Drosophila melanogaster: one gene and its partners. Changing the gene in region 1 together with any one later gene gives a genetic interaction. Each region holds a gene or a part of one and is shown in the gene's direction. Other genes may lie near its edges.

Region 1 (4,778 bases):
AATCAGATGGGCCTCCAGCCAATCCTCGCCAGCGCGCAAGCAGCCACGCTCATGTATATTCCTATCCACCGGCTGCATGCGTACGATTCGTGGGTGAATTTCAATATGCATTTCGGAAAGACGGGGGAAAACAGCTAGCGGACTTACATATCCCTCCTTGCGTACATCGTAGCCGCATTGCTTGTTCTTGATCACCTCCTGCGGACGTCTGCGGCAGCAGGAGAATGGCACTCCGCACGCCTCCCTGCTGCCAATAGCGATAGACGAGCAATTGAAGTAGTTGTTGCTGTCCCAGTCCTTGGGACCATCAATGCCGCAACACTGCAACCAATCCTCCTGGATCCAATCAATGAGATTCTGCTGGTCTGCGTCCTCGCGATAGTGGCGAATGAAGGCCTTGAGTCCCTCGGTGGCCTGGTCTTTGATCTGGAAAAGGCAAACCTTAGTAATGGCTGGCTAGAATAGTGGCCTTCAAATGGAACTCACCCAGCCCTTGTCCTTGAGCACGAAGGCCACGGCACAGAAGCCGATCTCTGCGATAAGCAAGACACTCAAGAAGATGGCGTACTGCAAGCGGAAAAATAAGGATTAACTAGGTCCAGAGGGGATCCACTAACAATGTGGTACCCACCGCCCCCAGGAGGCAGGTGTTCTCGCGCAAGGCGCCCACGCTGCCCATGAAGCCCAGTAGGAAGGTGACGCCTCCCAGGATGATCAGGACGAAGGCCGGGTCCAGGGCGATGAAGTGCAGCCGCGCAATGTTGCGGAACATGCCCTTCTCGCTCCAGGCCCAGATGCCAACGGAGAGGACCAGCAGGGCCGAGAGCCACAGGATCACATTGCTGGCGAACAAAAGGTACTTCAGACAGCAGCTGATTTCACTGGTCTCGCGGCGGAACTTGCGCACAGCAGCTGGCATTGCTCCAATTTTAACAATAATAAATATGGCCAAAAGGAAACAAAAACGTATGAAATTCTGCTCGCCAGTGTGACCGTGACTGCACTTTTTTTATCACGCAGTGCGACGGCTCCAAATACGTTGCAAAGAATACCGTTTCCCAAGAAAACCGCCATTTTGTTCAATCTTACGAACTTTAAAACTTGGATGTTTGTTTTTTTTTTATTGATCTTGCATAAACAATGTATTTTACAGAAACCAGTTTGCGTATTTATTTCATTTTCTGCTGATTTGTTGAGTTGAGCAACAACAATTTCATAGGCATTACCGTTAACTAAATACTTATGTCTACTGGTTATTTTAAATATATTATACAAATTCAAATTCTTAAAGCCAAGGCTTAAATTAACACACAGTATTCTAAAAACAATAAAAGAGCTCACTTACTTATATTAATAACTTAGAATATAATTCACTCTTGTAGAATGCCAAACTTTCTTTTTTTAGCTTACCACTGTATTGAAACACATTTCATAAAATTAATTAAAAAAGCGTACTTAGGAAACCTTGCGTATATGCTCGATGGATCCTATGGATGTTTCAAGTCCTGTCCCTGAACCGGCATAGTGTTAAACGCGGCGCCGGCTAGACTGAGTAACGCCTATGACCGAACTGATTTTGAATCTAATACAGAAACGAAACAATAAACGGGGGGTCGGCGATAAGACGAGATCCGATTCGTCGACCTCCGCCGATAAGAAACTGTGTTTGATTTGAAGGCCAGTGCTGCACAACGCGGACGGTGGCTGGTATTTTCCCGAACTTTTGTGGGGCAGATCGACGTTTCCGGCACTTCGACGACGGGTCACACTGGACACATGTAGCAGGAAAAAACGCAGACATCGGAGAAAGAAATCAGAAAAGTAAATTCGCATTAAAGCCACCTCGCCAGTGCCGTGCTCGGTGGTTTTATGGAACACTCATTTCGATCACATACCGAGCGTGCGCGTCTTCCAACGACTTCCTATGACGACAGTGAGTTTTTGCCCAGTGTAGGGTGCCCAGTTCCCAGTGCCCGAACCCAGTGCGATTGTGTGCGTGCCAGTGTGTGAGTTTAGGGGCACTTCTGATGGCTGAAAACGTTTAATTAGCAGCGAAAAGCGAACAAACTAGCAAAACGCAGACGCCCACCTGGCCAAGTCGGTGCATATAGATCAGGAAAAGTGCGGATTGCAGCCTCTGCGTTGGCCAACAGCGAAAACAACCCCCCGCACTAGTCGTGGAAAATGTTTGTATGTGTGTTCCCTCTGCTGGCAGCGCAATCGGGATTCCGAAAATCCGTAATAATTGTGAAAATGCGGCCAGAAGACAACGCCAGGTCGCGGCTAGGTTAGGAACCACGTCGCGGATGAACGGATTACGGTGGAAAACCGCGGACGGAAAATCGCGCACCAATTGCACACGCCAGCAGAGCAGCGACAGCGCTGCAAAGTGCGTTGCGTCGCTGCCCGGTCGCCATCATAGCGAAAAATATTGTGATCCCACGCCTGGAAAGCCAATATATGCCACTGAGTTTAGTGACTTTCAAGTATATAGTGAATATATAGCTCCAGTCGAGCTGTTCGCGGGGAGTTACTATTCGAAAAGTACAGTGCTGCAGTCACCTTCCAAAAAAAAAAATCAGTTCAGCTTTTCTGTTTCCGCTCACCGCCACTCCCCCCACCGTTGGAAATGTGCAATATGGCAGGGCAAATGCGTAAATTTTGCGCTCCTGCTGGAAAGTAACCAATATCCAGTGCTAATTTCGCCAAATCCATCCATATTTATGTACATGCTCGGTGCGAATGTGTGTGCCTGTATTCGCGTACCTGTGTCTGTCGTGCCCCGTGTCCGTGTAAGCTGTTTGTTTGTGCCCGTGTAAGCTGCGTGCGGGTGTGTGTGCGCGGCTGAAAATGGAAATTATATAAAAGAAGCTTTCGGCTTAGGCTGCTTTTCCGAGCGATCGGCGGCCGCAGAACGGAAAATCAGTTTCCCCCGTCCAACACTAACAGCGAACAGCTGGCTGCAGTTTGGAAAATGGCACTTGTCACGACGCCGTGCTGCCCAATCAATAATCCGAAATCGCAATCCACCGATTTTGATTTGGAACGGATTCGCAGGGAAATAATATCCCATTATCCCGAGCAGAGCAGCAAACGTAGCATGCCTCTGCCGGCGTCGCTGTCGACGATGTACTTTGCTCACTTGATACACAAAAACGGTACTCGTCGTCGCTCATCTCGCTCTCTCTAGGCGAGAGCGGGCTCTTCCTGATCAAGCACACGGGAAACTATACACACACACACATACGCACGCACCGCCAGTCAGTCAGGCAGGCACACATTGCCCACCCACTTCTACTCCCTTTTCGGTGGTGGCAGCAGTGGCAGTGGCGCCCCACATTCGTGCGAGAGTGTGTGTGCGTCACAACAACCACCAAAGCAAAGCTCTGTCGCGGCGGCTTCCTTGTGTCTAGCTGACAAACGCGAAAAATCTGTTGGGAACTCCAGCCGGAAGTTGGAGTTGACAGTGGTTTTCAACATGGCTTCGTTTCCGCTTCTCGATTTCGTCAGCTGAATTCGTAGATAACAGCTTTCACCTTTTGCTCAGTGTATGTGCTTGTGTTAGTGTGTGTGTGTGTGTGCATGAAGGTCCTGTGTGCTGAATGTTTTGAATACAATGCGTATAAGTATAATCCCCTTTTGCACACTTGGTGTATACATGTTCGCTATCGAATTTGTAAGTTTATTGGTCGCTATGTTATACATACACACGGCCAGGAAATCCCCCGTGTTCGTGTCCGGGGTTGTGCCTGTATTGGCGTGCTCCACTTTTGTATGCAACAAATTCAGTGCTGCTGGCTAATCGCCGCTGCACTCTCTCTCTCTCTCTCTATTACTCCTCGGGAGAAGCCACATCCCCCTGGAGGGAAACATGCGAGAAAGGCATTACTTCGCCTAGGTCCAGTGCAGTTGCCCATCCTGCGATCCCGCCGGCGGCACTGGATACAACCTCACAACCGAAGTAATCGTTTGGTAACTGCACTTGCACCGTCGCAAAGTCGAGTTTTCACCTCTGTAAATGTTGTTTGTTTACCTGCGAGGGTTGAGTGCAGGCACCACAACACATATACACACACACACAGGTGTGCGGCGATTTGATGTAGATACAGTGGGCCGCAGGGGTTCCCTCTCCGATCAATAGGAGCGGTAGGAAAGTCCAACTAAGACGACAGTTCTCTTGTGGATATTAACCAATTTAAATCTGTCGACGGGGCAACGAATCGTTAATTAATGCAAGGGGCGCGGGGCGGGAGTGTGTGTATCTGAAAAGCCACCATAATAGCTCTACCAACAACAAGTAACCCCTAGTTGTTGAAATATTTATATATATACATATATAAACTGCAGTAACTACAATTATTATTGAGTTATTGCAAACAAACCTTAGATAAACTTTCATTGGCTTAAAAGTCAAATTTAAATAACGTTGTAATTAGGGAGAATTTAATTGGTATATTATGCCGTTTAAAGTAGAATAAACAAACTGCCAATAAGCCGTTTCTTACTAGCAACTTTAGGTAATGAGTACTGTAGTTGAAGCTGAAATACAAAGTAGCTAAACTGCCAAGAAGTGTGTCTGCCACAATAATTAAATAACCGGGACAGGTCTTTCAACCCTAATAACGAAAACAACCTTTCCGGAGCGAATTTAATATTACCAAGTTGTGAACTCATCCGTAACTTTTATTCTCTATTTCAGAACCGAGCGGAATAAATTTAATCTGAACTCATCTTAAAGCTATGTCCGCCAAAACTGAGGCGGACAACACGACGGCCGC
Region 2 (6,213 bases), on another chromosome or scaffold:
GTACCCAAAATCTACCTTAATAGTAACACCTCTAATTTGCTATTAAATAATTAATTAATTAATAAATATTAATTAATAAAGTAATAAATTATTTTATAAACATCGAATTGAATACTTTGGTAATTCTTTACTTACATAAAAAGACACGGCTTGAGATTCGATTTACGTCTTTTTATTTGTTTTAAATTAATTTAATGGTGATTCTCATTTTCTGCTGCTCTTTAATGGATGTATGACTTTTGCTTATTTCGAAACCTAAATATGTCCTTAAATCGTTGCGAATATGTAAATGTTGCATAACCATCGGGAAAACTATAGTTGCCAGTGGTTATAAACAATGTGGGCCTTCGGTTGCGAGCGATTTGAAATTGCATTAATCAGTTTACTTGTCATCTAAAATGGTTGGTTAGGTGGTTAGTAAATTCCTTCTGTTCAAAAGGCACTCCATTAGCTTACCCTCATCCTCTTCCTCTTCCTCGCCTTCTCCATCCTCACCGTCCTCGTCGTCAAATGCCTCCTCATCATTATCTTCGTTGTCCTCCTCGTCCTCGGGCTCCACCTCGATATCAGGTACCAGATAATACTGCAGTGGATTTGGCCAAAGGTCGTCTTTTATCAGTTCTGCGATCTCGTCGTTGACGGGATCGGTGTTATCCGAGAACCAATCGAAGAAGGTTTTGTATTCGGAGTTGCGCTTCTTCTTGTTTCCGTACGGCTTTGTCAGCAAAAGTTTTAGCAGGTTCTTTCCCTCCTTCCATTTGATGGGCGTGCTGGTAGACGCGGGCCAGTCTCCGTTCTCGGAAGCAGCTTTAATTGAAATAGTAATGGGTTAGCTAAGCGGATTTGAATCAATCGTTGGGAGAACTTACCCGCTGAATTCAGGTGGAACTCTTTGGTGAGCACCTTGTTTTCGAAGTAAGGATTCTCGTCGAAATGGAAGTTGATGCGGTAACCCGATTTGATGTCCTCAAACTCCTCAACCTCAAGTTTGTTGAGCGCGTGCAGGCACTCCTCCTCCTCCTCGTCCAGAATGCCGGATACTTGCGGGTGGTTGATAAACTGCAAATATGGCAGTTGGGATTAGCTAGGGGATGCATGCTATCAAGCAGAAAGCCATGTTTATGGCCCCTATGGCACTACTTTTCTTTTCAATTATGGCAGCAAATATTTCAGTGGTTTTTGATTTGAAGCCATTTTGAACTGTGCTATGTTGTGTATTTCCCGGCCAGACGGATATATCGATAGCACGATTTTTCCGGGAGGGGGAAAATGCGCGGGGAGCCGGTGGTGTCGGCATTGCAGCCCAAAGATGAACAAGAAAAAATGCCTCGAATAGAGAAAATTTCTTGTACATGTGTGCAGCGATTACCATCACTTCAGGGCTTCGAAAGATCTAGTCGGCTCCACTAGAACCCATCAGACGAACACGCGGAGGGGACAAACATGGCCGCGGATCGAAGTACTCACCGAGGTCACCCAAAAGTTGGGGATGCGCTTGACCAGCTCGCTGCGCTTCTCGTAGCAGGGCTTCCGCAGCTTGTTGTACTTCTGCTCCACCTTGAGGATCTCCTCGCTGGCCTTCTCGTTCAGCGCATCGATCTCGTTCTGGCAGGCATCAATTTGCTCCAACGCCTCCGACTCCTCCTCGTTGTTACCGGCGGCGGCGGATGTGTTGCCATCGGCGGGGGCGCCGTCCAGCTTGGCTCGCTTTGGCACGCTCGACATTCTGCACGCTCTTCCGTTGTGTGTACGCTCGTAATTCCCGAGATATTTGAACAAAAAGCGGCGGTACAGTTGAGCAGAAGAGAAGCGAAGCGGATTTTTAACCTTTCGTTTGCGGCTGAAGAACTGTAAGTGTATCGATAGGGCGGCACTCTATCGATACGCATCGCAGTTGGGCACCGGTGTGACGTGTCCAACACTGGCCAACCATGATTAGAGCACTATCGATAGGCATTGTCGGGTCCAATCGTTCTTCGATATCGAGATTTGATGCCGAGCTGTAATAGCTGAAAATTATTATTTTCATTTTGCATACGCATCGTTTTTGAAAACATCAGCAACATGGCCACGGCTGAAGCCCAGATCGGTGTGAACAGGAACTTGCAGAAGCAGGACCTCAGCAACTTGGTAAGCAGCCAGCAAAGACGACCGCCAGACGCCGCCTTCCCTTTTTTTCCGCCCGTGTGTGAAAGTATACGCGTCGTCATTATGGAGCCGCTTCCCGGAAAAACAGCGGGGTGCGGGTCGCAAGGACGCGCCCAGATTGTCTCGAACGGTTCGCGGACCAATTTCGAGGGATATACCAGTGGGTTTCGCCAGGGCCAGCAGTGATTTGTTGTGGGTGAGAGATCACGGTGAAAATGCAGCACGTGGCGCTACATTTAGGGTCTGTTTGGTTTATCCCGCAACTTTGGCTCTGCATATGGGCATGATGCGGACTCTGGCGGTATTTGGGCTCTGGCAAGCAGATCAGTTTCGCGAGGACTACCTGACTGTTGTCATCAATTTTGAGTTGATGCAATTCAAGCGACATTCTAACCTCAAAATTGACGGCTTTCCTATATACACACATGCATCTGAGAGGGGATGTTTTGTTAGGGGGTGTGGCGGCGGTAAACAAGACTTGTGCTCTGATTTTCCTCTATTAAAGCGCCTTTATTTATCGTATTGCATTTGGAATCTTGCAGGACGTCTCTAAACTAACGCCTCTATCACCGGAGGTCATCTCCCGACAGGCGACCATCAACATCGGCACCATCGGTCATGTGGCTCACGGCAAATCCACGGTGGTCAAAGCCATATCCGGCGTGCAGACTGTGCGCTTCAAGAACGAACTGGAGCGCAACATCACAATCAAGCTGGGTGAGTCAGGGATCCGTGTAAGCTAGCCTAAGCATATAATCTTAAGATGTATTATTCTACTTGATAATAATTTAGCCGTATGTTAATTCTTCCTGCTCGCCCGTAAACCCCGTAGTGCCCTAAGATTGTAAACCTTCTCGGCTGGCCGAAAATAACCCATAATTATCTTAAGAACCACTTTTTAACACCGTATCGCGACGGCACACCGCGTAGCCAACTCTGTCGCTGCTTTACATCGAGATAATGTTGTAAAAGGGTTCTGCGAATGATTGTCTCTTGTAATTCGAATTCTTGTGTATTTTGTTAACTTAAATTGCTGGATTAGCACGCGTTGCCTTGTGTCGTCGCCTAAGTAGTCTAAAATGATAAAAGAAGTTGTCTTTAGAATGTTGTACTTTACAAAGCTGAATTAAAAAGCGTTCCCAAAGATTGGTATTAAGCATATCTTCCTGTTAGCTTAGTCTTGAATCTGTTACATTGATTGATACGACTGATCCAGCAATTTAATTAATTGCCAATCTTTTTCTTCTTTTTCCCTATTTCTCTTGTTTTTACGATTTTTTCGGTTGCGACGCGTCCGCCAAATAAAAAAAAAAACACACCAAACCCATCATCCAATCCACAATTGTCCAAAACTTGTCATTTGCAGAACGCTTGAGCGAAAAAAAAATCAAAAATCTTTTGACCTCCAAGCAGCAGCGACAGCAGTATGAAATCAAACAGCGTTCAATGCTGCGCCACCTGGCCGAATTGCGGCGACATAGCCGATTCCGCCGCCTCTGCACCAAGCCAGCTTCGTCTTCCATGCCAGCATCCACCTCCAGTGTAGATAGACGCACCACCCGGCGAAGCACCAGTCAGACCTCACTGAGTCCAAGCAATAGTAGCGGCTATGGCAGCGTTTTTGGCTGCGAGGAACATGATGTGGACAAAATACCCAGTCTCAACGGATTCGCCAAACTGAAGCGTCGACGCAGCAGTTGTGTGGGCGCCCCAACTCCCAACTCCAAGCGGTCGAAAAATAACATGGGAGTAATTGCCAAAAGGCCGCCCAAAGGAGAGTACGTTGTGGAGCGTATTGAATGCGTCGAGATGGATCAATATCAGCCAGTCTTCTTCGTCAAATGGCTGGGATACCATGATAGCGAGAACACCTGGGAAAGTCTTGCCAACGTGGCCGACTGCGCCGAAATGGAGAAGTTTGTGGAGCGGCATCAGCAGCTCTACGAGATATACATAGCCAAGATAACCACTGAGCTTGAGAAGCAGCTGGAGGCATTGCCACTAATGGAGAACATTACGGTGGCCGAAGTAGACGCCTATGAGCCACTCAATCTGCAGATCGATCTTATACTGCTCGCCCAATATCGCGCTGCTGGCAGTCGAAGCCAAAGGGAACCGCAGAAAATTGGAGAACGAGCCCTGAAAAGCATGCAAATCAAGCGGGCCCAATTTGTACGACGCAAGCAGTTGGCTGATCTAGCATTGTTCGAGAAGCGCATGAATCATGTGGAGAAACCGTCACCGCCAATACGTGTTGAGAACAACATTGATCTGGACACCATAGACAGCAATTTCATGTACATACATGATAACATAATCGGCAAGGATGTGCCCAAGCCGGAAGCGGGGATTGTGGGCTGTAAGTGCACTGAAGACACAGAGGAGTGTACTGCCTCTACGAAGTGTTGTGCCCGCTTCGCCGGCGAGCTGTTCGCCTACGAGCGAAGCACACGGCGCTTGCGCCTTCGTCCCGGAAGTGCCATCTATGAGTGCAATAGCCGCTGCTCGTGCGATTCAAGCTGCTCCAACCGTCTGGTGCAGCACGGACGCCAGGTACCGTTGGTGCTGTTTAAGACCGCCAACGGCAGCGGATGGGGGGTGCGAGCCGCAACTGCCTTGCGTAAGGGTGAATTTGTGTGCGAGTACATTGGAGAGATCATCACCAGCGATGAGGCAAATGAGCGCGGCAAGGCGTATGACGACAATGGGAGGACATATCTGTTCGACTTGGATTACAACACAGCTCAGGATAGCGAGTACACTATCGATGCAGCTAACTATGGCAACATCTCGCACTTTATCAATCACTCTTGCGATCCTAATCTCGCCGTGTTCCCCTGTTGGATCGAGCACCTGAATGTCGCGCTGCCGCACCTCGTGTTCTTCACACTGCGTCCAATCAAGGCGGGCGAGGAGTTGAGCTTCGACTACATTCGCGCGGACAACGAAGATGTGCCCTACGAGAACCTCTCGACAGCTGTGCGTGTCGAGTGCCGCTGCGGAGCTGATAATTGCAGAAAGGTCCTCTTTTGAATGGACTTGAAGTACTATATTTAAATGGCACGCCGTTACCCACCTGAGACATCATTGCATTGAACCTTTTTTTTTTTTGTTAACATATATATATATTACTAGTTGGATTTTATATTCCGACGTTTTAATTATTTATTTGTTAATAAATGCTAATATCGATATATTGGATCTATATTATGTTTGAGGATCTATATTACTAGAGGATAAAACGAGTAATTCTATATAGTTTGTACTTGTATACATTTCATAAACTTAAATTTTAATTTAGTAATAACTTAGTGTTTTGACAAACAACCTTGTAATGTGCTGAAATTATTACCGCATTAAGTGCAAATTATTATTTTACAATAAATATTTTACGATTATTAAGTGATGTTTGTTTGTGGCTGTATAAATGATCTGGAAGGATCAAAGAAATGAATTTAGTTAGCAATAGCACTTAATTCCTTGTGAAGAACGAAGGATTATTTTACGTGTTTGCCAGGCCAGGAGTTCGAAGAATGTATTGTAATATTCTTCATAATTATTATCGCATTGCTTTTAGGTTATGCCAACGCCAAAATCTACAAGTGTGACAACCCCAAGTGCCCGCGCCCGGCCAGCTTCGTATCGGATGCATCCAGCAAGGACGACAGCTTGCCCTGCACTCGGCTCAACTGCTCCGGCAACTTCAGACTGGTGCGACATGTGAGCTTCGTGGATTGCCCCGGTCACGACATTCTTATGGCTACCATGTTGAACGGTGCTGCTGTGATGGACGCTGCTCTGCTGCTCATTGCTGGTGAGTAACCCTGGATCTCTCTGAACCGACAAAAGATATACAAATTACTACCTATTCCATGTGCAGGCAATGAATCCTGTCCACAACCGCAAACCTCTGAGCATTTGGCCGCCATTGAGATTATGAAGCTGAAACAGATTCTGATCTTGCAAAACAAGATCGATCTGATCAAGGAGAGCCAGGCGAAAGAGCAGTACGAGGAGATCACCAAATTCGTCCAGGGCACCGTAGCTGAGGGCGCTCCGATCATT
Region 3 (4,741 bases), on another chromosome or scaffold:
TCGTGGTGATGTGCGGACAGACCACTCTGGTGTTGATCTTCATGCTGGTGGTGTTCGGGGTTACCAACAACGGCGACCTATTCTGGGTCATCGTGCTGACCCTGTTGCAGGGCATGTGTGGAATGTGCTTTGGCTTCCTCATCTCCTCGGTGTGCGAGCTGGAGAGGAATGCCATACAGCTGGCGCTGGGCTCCTTCTATCCCACCCTGCTGCTGTCTGGAGTGATCTGGCCGATTGAGGGCATGCCCGTGGTGCTGAGGTGAGTTCTTGTGGTATTACTCTGTTGTGAATGGAAATTTAAAAAATCTTATCCCCCAGATACATATCACTGTGCCTGCCACTAACGCTAGCCACCTCTTCGCTGCGCTCCATCCTCACACGTGGCTGGGCGATACTGGAGTCGGATGTGTACATCGGCTATGTGAGCACGCTGTCCTGGATTGTGGGCTTCCTGGTGCTGACGCTTCTCGTGCTGCGAGCCAAACGCGGCTAGGATCTTCAGATATTACGCTACTTTTAGATGCCTAACTTTAGAACACGATAAGTCGTCCTAATTAGTTTACACCCACTTCGGGTCTTCTTCTTAATTCCACTTTCGAGTTTCACTTCCCTTCGTATCTGCCCAAATGTCATAAATTATTTAAGCACATTCGCAGCTTTCCTTAGCTTTCCACTCGGCACTCGTTTTTCCTTAGACTAAGTTCCGCACTTTCGTAGTTTAAAGCGTAAGGTTTAGGTACTCCTAAATGAAATGTTGTAAATATTTTGTGTCACGAATTCAGTAATCCGTTGCTCTAGATGTCCATTATTTGCAACCCTCTGTACTAGACCTTTTCTCGACGCCGACACGGGCAGTTTATCACATACAAACGCAACTAATTTTATATATTTTCAATGGACTGTGATTGTTTTTTCTACATAATTCACGCGAATACACGTAGGGCAAGCCTAAACAAAAAGAAAACACAATGAAAACGAACAAAAACAATGGTGGGTTTTGTTATTAACATTAAGTAGCTTAAAGCATTTTTGTATGGGTTTAAGTTTTTTAAGGTAAAACATAATTAAATACAATAATGTACGCAACCCTAAAGAGTATGTAAAAATATATTTCAGGAAATATTTTGCGCAGAGCATAAATATTTCACAACGAACAAACATAAGACAATGAACAACGAACAAGTGAAAAACGTTCTTATTTAAGTAAATATTAATGTGAACGCAGTTATGTATAAATAATAATAAAGCGTGAATAAATAAATAAAGTTAAATTTAATTGTTGGTTTACTTACATTTTGAAAAAGATGTTCTCATTTTAACATTGGCGCCAATGCACTGTTACTGTTTTCTAGCATGTCCATAACAGTCTTTTAAATGCAGGAAATAACAACTCATTGTGACCAACTGGCTGGAATTTAATAAATATGTTATCACTTCTAATTTTCTCCAAAACTAAAAAGATAATTTAGCAGGTTAGTTCAAAATTTAAATATTTAACGATAGCTAACTTGAATACCAGGGCTGGTCGCTGGTGTTCCGCTTAAAAGCAGTTGTGCGCTCTGGTAACACTGGCGTTACAGCTGATTGAAATCATAACAAAAGAGCAATGTTTTCCTGTGTTGTTTATGCTTAAAAAGCGATTTTAGGCGTTATTAAGGACGCGAAAATGGACAAATCCAGGTCCAGTGCGTACGACAAGTTCGTTGGCTTCGTGGAACAACTGCGAAATACGGAATGCAGGTGGGACTGAACGGAAATTTGATTGTTTTCGGTTGCATTGAATGTTTTGGGGAGGGGACCGGCAACAGTTTGTTGCTCATTACGGAACAATATTGATTAAATTATGAAGCCCAGGTGATTTCCGGTGGTTTTATTGCCCTTAAGATGAACCTGCCAACTTGTTAGGCCACCCAAAACATTCATTCAACATTGAGCAATAAGTGCATCCGCTATGACGTCATGCCACATACCTGTAATAAAACTAATTTATTTCGAACCCCCCACAGCCAAAAGCAGAAGATCACCTGCTTTCAGCAGATTGCCGAGTGCATCATGTCGCCCTCGCTGGCGGGCCACATCAACTATGCCGCCCACTGCGGCACGGCCACGAATGTTCTGCTGCTGTTCTGCGAGGATGTGGATTCCGTGGTTCGGATGAGCGCCGAGGAAAACCTAAATAAAATACTGAGGTCACTCGAGAAAACCCGGGTCAGTCGCATTCTTATGGATCTGTATGGTGAAATTAAGCGTAATGGTAACCAGAGGTAAGGAGGCAAATATATTAAAGCTAAAATAACAATCTTAAAAAAGAAAAACTTTCTGCACAGATCCCTGAGGATTTGCCTAAACCTTTTCTCCTACTATGCTCCACAAATAAAGGAGAAACACATCAAGTGGTATGCCGTGAGATTGCTCCAATGTATGACCACCATTTCCCAGCGCAAGGAGACGTTGCTCCAGGAGACTCTTTGCGACTTCGTCAAGCACTTTAGCCGCCATATACAACAGGGTCTCAGCGATAGCGAATCCTGCAAACTGTTCGAGGTAGAATAATATCCCTAAACGTCTTTTCTTTTTATGTTTAAGCGTTTGTTGACTTTTGCAGACTTTTCTGGACCAAATTAGCTCCGATTGTGCCGTCAAGCGTCGTTGCTCTGCCCAAAACTGCATGAGTCTGATTGAGAATGCACGCAATAGGAGCCTCATGGCCAGACATGGGGTCAACAAAGTGATGGGTAAGACAGCTTAAATAGGAAATGAATTTCTGAGAGAAATACGAAAAATCCATATGAACACTGCATCCTTACTAGCAACTATAGCAAATGAGAAGTTCGTGAGTGCTGTTATTTACTATTAGAAAAGGAATTTAAATTCAGCAGAATGATACACTTGTTTCAAAACTCTAGGGTCAGCTGTTATTGTTATTTCGCAAAGAGTAACACCATTAAATTTAACAATATTGCAGCCTTAATAACAGCCTCTATTGTTTGTACACTTTTGGATAAACGTATTCACTATTCGCTGCTATCGCTGTTAGTTATTTAACGCATTTTCGCTACGACACTTTGTGTTCAACAGGACGCTCTTTATATTCACATCAATAATGAAAGAGATGTTTAAAAAGCGTGTAACGGCCAAATACTAAGCCTCGCATAGATCGTCATATATATACATATATTGTTAGGTTCGTGCTGGCTCTGCAGCTAAAAAATATTTTTAATATTCTAAAAAGCCGCAAATCCATGAAAAATACCTTACCAAAATGTAAAGCCATCGAACTGCGAACTACGCGAGCGCGGGAATAGATGGTTTTTGGTTTTATTCAAACTCGAATTGTGAATGCAATCACAGCCATGGGTTTGTTTGTCTGTGGCCTGTGGGCGCTAAAGGGGGCGTGGCACAATAAAAGTAACTAGACAGTTGATATAAATTATATTTCTACAGTGCTGTTGGTTACCATGCGCAATCGATGGACGAGCCATCGAATGTACGAATATACACACATATATTTTTTCCAGATTTGTTTTGATTTTAGGCAACGATAGCGGGCAGTTTTTATTTTAACATTTGCTAACTGGCGGACTGCAGCAATAACTGCAGCGGCAAAAACAAAAGTCATGGCAACGTGAGCCATGCGAAAATGCTTAAAAATTGCAAACACAAATCATTTTTTATTGAATTTTCATGAAAATATTATTGGCAAACGTCGACGAAGAGGTAAATGCACCATAGTTACGTTACATTTGCCATCGTCTTTTTATGACCTGCTGCATTGTCCAACAAAAAATTAAGTTCAAACCTCAGAGGAGCTCGGTGTTTGGCATTTGCAAACAATTGAAGTGATATACCGGACTGGGAAAACTAATTCATTTGCTAGGACTACCTTTATGGAAGTCAAAATTCTGACCTCGCCCAAGTTCATATAAATTAAGCTTCGGCTTGACTCTTCCTTTGCTCTTTTCTTGTCCAAATGTTTACCTTCAAATCAACTCCTTTAGCTCCTGTTCCGGTTTCTAGCTCTGCTCCTTTCCCTGCCGCCTACCGGTCTTCTAGTCCTGTGTCAACTTTATGCCACTTCTCGGCAAAGGCACAATGCCAGGCAACTCTTCAGCGCATCCTTATACAGTCTGGCGCCTCTTTTTATGGGCACCCATCATAGTACTTGGGCTGCCTGTGTTCTGGCATGCCCCAACAAACAGACACAAAGTACGGTGCTCAGACCTCAGAACTCAGAGCTCAGAGCCGGGATCCTAGATCCCAGACCCCAGAACACAGACCGCAGAGCCGCCCTCGCCCACGCCATCTCCGTTTGTTTGTCTCCCCGCCCGTAGACGAAATGAAATTTATGCACTTGGACACTTCCATGCAATAATTCATGCGAAATTGAATCAGATATTCATTCCTGTGCAGCTTTAAAGCGGATAATCAACGTTGTAAACAAATGCCGGCCGAACGAGGCCAGCAAAGGAAAGTCGGCAGATGCAAAGGGGAGCTGGCAAAATTTATGTTGCCCACTGACTGATGCCGAGCTAAACAAAAAGTGCAAATTATTTTCCATGGCAACTTGGTATGGCAGCACAAATGGCACAATGACCAATTCATAATCTGAAAACGCTGCTGATCTCTTTGAAAACGTACTCCATGGCCCCCAGATTGTCCACCTGGTCGAGAATGTCAAAGTAATTATTTTCATTTTGACTTCATTTTGGGCTTCTACGTGTATGACAGCTGCAAAATTAAT

The links. Genes that interact genetically often act in the same process or in processes that back each other up.
Region 2: of Kdm5 (region 1) and Su(var)3-9, changing one suppresses a phenotype caused by changing the other (phenotypic suppression), as found in Drosophila melanogaster (one study listed by BioGRID).
Region 3: of Kdm5 (region 1) and htt, changing one suppresses a phenotype caused by changing the other (phenotypic suppression), as found in Drosophila melanogaster (one study listed by BioGRID).

What each region holds. Positions count from the first base shown.
Region 1 is NT_033779.5:5,996,453-6,001,230, reverse strand, and holds the start of Kdm5 (lysine demethylase 5), read left to right. Parts: upstream 1-1,729; 5' UTR 1,730-1,933; intron 1,934-3,466; exon of another isoform or gene 3,467-3,548; intron 3,549-4,445; exon of another isoform or gene 4,446-4,517; intron 4,518-4,699; 5' UTR 4,700-4,740; coding exon 4,741-4,778. Other genes in the region: Tsp26A (tetraspanin 26A), read right to left, coding at 1-72, 148-426, 487-567, 632-919. UniProt on the Drosophila melanogaster protein: Histone demethylase that specifically demethylates 'Lys-4' of histone H3, thereby playing a central role in histone code. Does not demethylate histone H3 'Lys-9', H3 'Lys-27', H3 'Lys-36', H3 'Lys-79' or H4 'Lys-20'.
Region 2 is NT_033777.3:15,259,199-15,265,411, reverse strand, and holds Su(var)3-9 (suppressor of variegation 3-9), read left to right. Parts: upstream 1-1,953; 5' UTR 1,954-2,064; coding exon 2,065-2,130; intron 2,131-2,474; exon of another isoform or gene 2,475-2,573; coding exon of another isoform or gene 2,574-2,615; intron 2,616-2,690; coding exon 2,691-2,865; intron 2,866-3,514; coding exon 3,515-5,181; 3' UTR 5,182-5,548; downstream 5,549-6,213. Other genes in the region: Set, read right to left, coding at 383-393, 457-807, 870-1,059, 1,468-1,725; eIF2gamma (eukaryotic translation initiation factor 2 subunit gamma), read left to right, coding at 2,065-2,130, 2,691-2,865, 5,726-5,962, 6,029-6,213. UniProt on the Drosophila melanogaster protein: Histone methyltransferase that specifically trimethylates 'Lys-9' of histone H3 using monomethylated H3 'Lys-9' as substrate.
Region 3 is NT_033777.3:28,694,666-28,699,406, forward strand, and holds the start of htt (huntingtin), read left to right. Parts: upstream 1-1,576; 5' UTR 1,577-1,666; coding exon 1,667-1,740; intron 1,741-2,006; coding exon 2,007-2,264; intron 2,265-2,327; coding exon 2,328-2,544; intron 2,545-2,605; coding exon 2,606-2,735; intron 2,736-4,741. Other genes in the region: snu (snustorr), read left to right, coding at 1-259, 319-493.